Nothobranchius furzeri: one gene and its partner. Each later gene encodes a partner of the first gene's protein in a complex. Links are inferred from orthologs where the notes say so. Each region holds a gene or a part of one and is shown on either strand. Other genes may lie near its edges.

Region 1 (3,657 bases):
AAACTGAGGACAATATTTTCCTGATATAGGGTTTATTACTCAAGTAAGGGTAAAAAAAAGTATCTGATTAGAAGGCTACTTGAGTACTGAGTATCATCTGGTCTAATATTTTTAAAATGATGACATCAAACAGACAAAAAATAAGAAGTTAAGGGCAAATATTGGTATTTTAAAAACTAAAGGGGAAAATGTAAACATGTTGTGACATCCATTGTTCCCCTTAGGTGCAAGAAGGTATATCTCTTTTTTTGCCACTTGGGTGGATGTAAAGCAGTTGGGGGAACATTTATCAGAGGTGAACCAACAGGAAAGCTAGTGTTACACTATTTGTGATGTAGAGGAGCAGTGTGGCAAGGGAACTGTTATGAACACATTATTTTGACACACATACACACCAGATATATGCATCCGACAATAATTTACATATAAAAGATATGATGAAATTCTTGTTTTATTATAATGTTGATCAGCTGTGGCAGCCATCTTGAACTGAGTTGGCTCCAAAATGTATTCGATTGTCCTATTAAAATAAAAATTTCAGAAAAATTCAGTAATTCATTAGCCTAGTGTACTAGACCAAATTCTTGCTTTGCAAAGTTTGGTCTAGGCACGCTCCATTGGAACCTCCGCAGCTCCTACCAGGACTCTGGCTAGCCAATCACAGCTCTCTAGAGGGGTTTCAAACAGATAAAGAGCTGTGATTGTTCCATAATGGTGGGCCAATCATAGTGCTCTATCTGCTTAGTGAACAAATCACAGAGCTTTATCCGCTTTGTGGGCCAATCAGGGCACTCTATATGCCTGGTAGGTGGGATGATGCAACAGAGTGAAACAAGAGTATGTCACATTCATTGTCCAGTGGAATGCAGAGATCATTTGAAAGACAACGGTAGAACCCGCCCCACAACCGAGAGCTGTCAATGGAGCGTTGCCAGACTAAATAATACATTTATTTAGTCTGGCTTGCCAGGCTAGTCGTTCATGGGATGTGTTTAGAAACTGATTGTAATGGCCATCTCTAATCTGGTTAAGGTTGAACATTTATTGGTTGTGCATGTACATTTTGAGGGTTTAAAATGTTGCCAGATGTTCATGACACGTTTTGCTAACATTATGAAAAGACACAAGTGAAGACATTACTACAAAAACATCAGCCTTCTTTTGTCTTGGTAAAAGACTCCATTACCTCATGTGGGATTTGATATCCAGCAGCTCCAGAGCTGTGACCCGAGGCTCACCAGCAACATTCTGAAGGATTTTGAGTCGTGGTCCACAGTGTTTGTAAAACTCTGTGCAAATGTTTAACAATGACTCCCGTGGCCGGCGGAACTCCTCCCTCGCATTGCGCTCATCTAACTCTTCCTTTGGCATGCCTTGACCCTCCTCCACCAGGTGGAGATTGTCCCTATGAATGCAAACCACCTTAAGTTATGAATTTTTAACTTTTAACCCTCCCACTGTCCTAATGGGTGTGACCCCGCGAGGAAAGTTGATCACTGAGCAAAGTTGATGGTTTATCCCTTGGGTCCATGTGGCAGGGGTGAGGAGTGAGCACCAACTCACCCCTGCCACGTGGACCTCAAGGGATAAACCATCAATCCTGCTCAATGGTCAACTTTACTCGCAGGGTCACCCACAAAGACAGTGGGAGGGTTAAGCACCAAAATAGCAGAATTTTAATTTTTTCCAACCTAGTGTTGATGCCTCCAGACATGGTATGGTTGGCTGTGGTGCCACCCTTGTGGCCTTGATCACCACGGGAGATCTGTGGAGCTGTCATTGGCCTGTGAGAATGTTTGGATAAGAAAATAATCACTGAAATCATACGAAAGAGAAATCTACAATTCTTTGCAATAAATGCGAGACAAACCTTGTAAGCGACTCTGAGCTATATAGGAGAGCCTGCAGAGATGTTGCTAGAGCAGCGATGGCGGCAATCTCATCCCGGGCGGCAGATGCAGATTCCATGGTGACCGTATTGCTTTTGAGCTTTTGGAGGTAGCAGGGAACCAGAGCTTCCAACACCATCAGCATCTGGAAACTGTTGATGCAAAGAATTGCAATAGATTATTTGTAGAAAAGTTGAGAAGAGAAGGTGATGCATTGGCGATATTACCTCCTGAAGGACTCAGGAGCATAGGCAGCCACAGTAACACACAACTTGATGGCCTCACTGATAGAAAAGGCTAAGTCTTCATTGCCATAACAGAAATCTGTGAGATGACAAGAATATATTAGTTAAAAGTCAAATGAGGCTCAAAACTACTATTGTGAGTACCAGTTATTGTTTATGCTGATGCTTCAACCAGATGCAGCAAGCGTGAGACAAAGTGTTAAAGATTACCAAGAGAGCAAAGAGGTTTTTCAGCCTTGACCAACTCCAGAGCGTCTAGAGCATCCAGGGTTTCCCCCTCCAGAGAGACCATCAAGTCAAAAAGACACTGAGCTGAAACTCCTTTAGATAGACCAGTGCTAGTGCTTGTCTGGGGTGGATGGTACAATAAAGAAATAAAACGGAAAGCTTAACACAATGACCTTGAAATAAAACACCTATTCATGTTTCAATATGAGGTCTTACAGTGAATTCCAGCAGTGGAGCCACACTAGCAAACAGCTGGAGGACAAAAGGTTTTCTGTGGAGGATGTAGAATTGCCGGCAGCAGAACTCGATGCCCTGTCGCAGCAAAGGGTTGCTCTCATAGTCCGCATAGACCTGTTAGAGACACCAAAGGAGGACGCACTATTTCAAAGCATGTCTCCTAACATGGTTATGTTATATTTTTTATCATTTCCCATTCAAGAAGTTTACAGGCACAACATAATTTTGTCTGTTGTGTTACTAAATTATTTCGCAAAGCACTAGGTGAATTTAGAGGGTTTTCTAGAGCATTTTTTGCCATATCGCTTGACATGCTCTTCACATACCAATGGCAACCAATGCATTAAACGTTTGTTTAAAAAAATAGTTACAGGATTTAAGATGGCCGACAAAGCCAACTGACCCAAGAAAACAGAAACATGCCTCGGTCAATTTAAAGCAATTGAGCTAAAGTTCAGAGTTTTGATAGCTAAGAGTCATTCACAACGCTCCGAGGGCTAACAAATTTTCTTAGATCTTGCTATTTTGAACCAGATTGGTCATAACGTTATTCTTAAGATTGACCAAACTCAAGTTGATCACTTCTTAAAATGAGACAATCTTAGTTTCAAGGCAAAATAAGTGGTTTTTGTGTTTTGTTTTCATTTTGGGCTACATCTATGACTCTCTGCACACTCAAAACACACCAGATTTTGTGCCAACATTAACATAATACCTGAAGCATTGTTGGGAGGATCCACTGGTATCCACTCAGGGAGAAGAGGTGATTGAAGTGGACTGCTGTGTTGATGGCGGTGGCAGTGTATTGCCTGAGGAGGGAGCTGTCCTCTGGGTGTAGCAGCAATGCCCCGTTAAAGACGTTGAGAAACAGCATCATCTCATCGCCCCAGGGGTACTCACTGGGCATGCCCAAGAACATCTCCTCCAACAGCTTGATCCACAGCACCTTGTGAAGGGTGTCAAAACCAAACAGCTCCTTACCTGGACAGCAACGAAGAACATGGTCAAACCTCCCCAACCTTTAAAATAATCTAGAGGTTGCCTGCTTCACCTTGTGG
Region 2 (3,174 bases), on another chromosome or scaffold:
TGTTATTCTCAGACAAGAGCTTTGTGGTAACAAAGTTAGATCTCACAACAATGCTTAATCACAACAAACCGCATTAGTCCAAAAGGTAATTGTGTTTGCTTGGTATATGCGTGGGCCAATCTGTTTTGTTGCTGCCAAAGAGGAGAAGGGTGGAATAGGTGGAGAGGATGTCGGGGGTTACAACCAAAATAGTCTTGTTTACCTCCAATGTCTGGCTCCATGTTATCGAGTTACAAAGCCGCTGCCGCAACTCAGATTGGCCTCTGATCGATCTGAGCTCTGATGGCAGCAGGCAGCATGACTGACTGTCTGACAAGGATCTAAGACAGCAGCTGGGTAATGCTTGTCATGTCATTTTTCTGCCGTCGTCTGAGCTTTTGGGTTTCTCGCTCAGAGCAGCAGACTTCCAGAGCTGATTTTATCGCACCTGCATTGTGGGAAACCGGACGTTTTCCACATCAGCGAGGACATCAAAGGGCAGAAAATGTCACATTTGAATTTGGAAGGGGTTGGCGACTCGGACAAAATGACAAAGTGTCTCGGTGTTTAGAAAAAAAGTATTTTTATTATACAGCCGGCGGCCGAGGAACTTAAAAAGTGACAGGAGATCGATGTGACAGCGTGAGCGGATAATTTATAAGATTCAACAATCATTTTACACCCTGGCTATGACTGATGTGGGGTAATAGAAAAATCCCCTCAGTCATTTCGTTACCAACACAAGCCTGTAAACACCCGTTTTTTTTATTAGCATAGATTTTCTGTACACGTTATATTAAAGGTGCTGAAAATATTCCAGGTAAAATGACTCCGTCTGTGCAGGAGTCCTTTTGTGAGCACAGAGTTCAGTCAGGGCAGGTGCATGCAGGTGTGCAGTGACCACAGGGGAGGTCACATGGGGTAAAACTGTGAGGCAGCCTCCGACGACTGGATCTCCACCTGAGCCATCTTGAACTGGGTGCACTGGAGCCATTTTCGAAGGGCGAACGGCGGCGCCCCGGACGCCTGACCCTGCAGACACTGGTGGTTGACCCTGTTCTGGATGGCCTGAAGACGCAGCTGCAGTCCTGCAGATAGATGCTGGCAAAGGAAGGAAGAGAATGTCTTACTTTGAAATTATAAAACAGGTTGATGCTCACTTCCTGTTTTGGATTCATTTAAGTCCTACCTTCAGGTTTGACTGAATCATGGGGAGCCACATCGGTATCAACTAAGAGAAAGAGTGAGGATGATTATGATCTAATTAAATGTGAGACTCATAAACAGGAATGGTTGAAGTTAAAAGAAAACCTTGACGAAGATGGTCGAGTTGCATTCCTGCAGAGCTTCCATCAAACTGATGACATGAAGACAAACCATCTCCACCATCTGGGAGACACATCAGAGTCAAATCAACAAGTGCATCAAAAGCAGTTTCCAAGTTTAACAACTAAGTCAAACATTTACCACTTTATTGTGCGCCATGAGCTGCAAGATGCTCGGTGTAACCCGACTCCAGAACTCCAGGCCCGTGAGGATCGCGCTGGACGAAAATTCGGTCTGGTTCTGGTTTTGCAGGGACGGCGCGGCAGCCGCCTGCTCACAGTAGATAGTCCACAGCTGGGCAAACATGAAGGCGTGGAACAGGGAGCACATGTGCAGCACCGACGTCTGAGGACAAAAAAGGCATTACAAAGGCATCTAAACACAGGTGGCTGGAGTTAGCCGTGTAAAGGGACTTGATCGGCCTGACCTTTGACTGCTCTGGGAAGCCAATCAGGATGACAATGAGGTGATCTGCGATGTGTGAGCCGGCATCTAGAGGGATGGGCATGCAGGAGGTGGAGCCTTGGTGCAGAGCGCAGTGCGTCAGGGAGCCCAGCAGCAGCCAGGACAGCTGACGGATGTGGGACACGCACTCGATGAATTCTTTTGGCCTTCACAGACGAACGGGTTGAGATGTTAAATCTGCACAGAATTCCTTCCCAACTATAAAATATGCTTCCTGACAAAAGGAAACTTTACTTGTAACCCTAGTTTTGTTGCAGATCATTCTGATGAGACACGGCTAAGCTGGGCGTGCAGTTTAATATTGGTTCAGTTTACACAAAAGCATATGGAGAACATTATTAGGGTTATTTTTAGACTGTTGGAGAAACATGAAATGACAAGAGGCTGTTGCCAGGGAGTTCTTATCAGTCGCAAATGAGAAACATGAAGCAGCTTGTCCAGGCAGCAGCAGAACCTGGATCTCTATGTTACAAAGTGGCACCAACCATGTGTGAGGACACTACAGCCGTTCCAAAGATGGACTACAGTTGTCTGTTACTCCATTAACTCACCAGCTACATGAGTGTTGATGAGTTTCATACTAGAGAAAACAGGAGATAGAGACAAAGCTTTGGCTCCAACAAACACCAGTTCCATCCCTGATCACTCCACATGCAGCATGTCCTCATTTGCAACCACTTGAGTATGCATGGAGGGGTTATTGAGAGAACACTTTGTAGGACTAAAATAAGGTAAAATACCGCACCAGCAGCAGGCTAAAGGAGAAAATGGTCTCAGATTTGTCATTTCTGTAAAGAAGTTAGCAAACTGTGAAGAAATAATAATGAACAACACAGATTGAGGTTTATTTGACTCAATACAAAGCTTAGAATCCTTGTTTAGTCATTTATTCTGGAAACTGTTCGATAATCAGAGTAATCCATATGCTGATATGCTGATCCGGAGATCTTCCTGGATGACAACTGGTAACGGACTGGATCCAGTGGATGTAGAAGCTTACAAGACTGTACACTTTTAAAAAGCCCAATACTTCTCGCAAGACTTTTTCCTGTACTGCTGATATTTTATTTTTCTTAATAAAAATGCTAACAGGCTATCTTTTAAAGCAATGTTAAAAGTCTCCCTCCTGCTGGTTGAAAGGAGAATCACAACCGTCGTAAACAACCCTGCCGGTGTCGGTACAGGATCGGCTCGGGTGCAGGATCGGCTCGGGGTCCTTCAGCTGCCGATGATGTCACGTTACTGCAAATCTACTCGGCTTTCACACATACGTTTTGGAAGCAGTTTTGTTAATATATTCTTGTTTGTTAACATCTAAATGTTTTCTTTATGATTGTAATTTGTTAATAAAACACCATATTATCTTTGTTTTGTAAAGAATGTGAAACTGCATAAAACCAACAT

Evidence for each region.
Region 2: the proteins of protein unc-80 homolog (region 1) and protein unc-79 homolog are in contact, whole or in part, in a cryo-EM structure (PDB 7W7G), measured with the Mus musculus proteins. The link is inferred for Nothobranchius furzeri from reciprocal best matches to the Homo sapiens genes UNC80 and UNC79. Residues at the interface, in NP_780719.2 of Mus musculus: Gln23, Thr24, Trp27, Ser31, Leu34, Arg35, Pro36, Ala80, Pro83, His84, His87, Ser94, Asn95, Asn180, Ala183, Leu187, Phe190, Leu191, Arg337, Leu340, Gln341, Pro342, His343, Arg1317, Asp1320, Glu1321, Asp1324, His1545, Val1546, Asp1547; in XP_030102533.1 of Mus musculus: Thr120, Tyr123, Ser127, Ala130, Thr131, Leu168, Ser169, Ser172, Met175, Ile176, Gln179, Tyr180, Tyr207, Tyr211, Gly212, Pro213, Ser214, Val390, Cys391, Glu394, Glu402, Phe405, Arg472, Cys541, Asp917, Phe920, Ser965, Glu966, Phe967, Ser968.

The regions. Positions count from the first base shown.
Region 1 is NC_091742.1:61,474,459-61,478,115, forward strand, and holds part of protein unc-80 homolog, read right to left. Parts: coding exon 3,651-3,657; intron 3,581-3,650; coding exon 3,315-3,580; intron 2,714-3,314; coding exon 2,579-2,713; intron 2,484-2,578; coding exon 2,345-2,483; intron 2,214-2,344; coding exon 2,117-2,213; intron 2,042-2,116; coding exon 1,871-2,041; intron 1,785-1,870; coding exon 1,692-1,784; intron 1,406-1,691; coding exon 1,187-1,405; intron 1-1,186. UniProt on the Homo sapiens protein: Auxiliary subunit of the NALCN sodium channel complex, a voltage-gated ion channel responsible for the resting Na(+) permeability that controls neuronal excitability.
Region 2 is NC_091758.1:31,573,666-31,576,839, reverse strand, and holds the end of protein unc-79 homolog, read right to left. Parts: intron 1,917-3,174; coding exon 1,733-1,916; intron 1,651-1,732; coding exon 1,447-1,650; intron 1,369-1,446; coding exon 1,291-1,368; intron 1,211-1,290; coding exon 1,169-1,210; intron 1,081-1,168; coding exon 892-1,080; 3' UTR 544-891; downstream 1-543. UniProt on the Homo sapiens protein: Auxiliary subunit of the NALCN sodium channel complex, a voltage-gated ion channel responsible for the resting Na(+) permeability that controls neuronal excitability.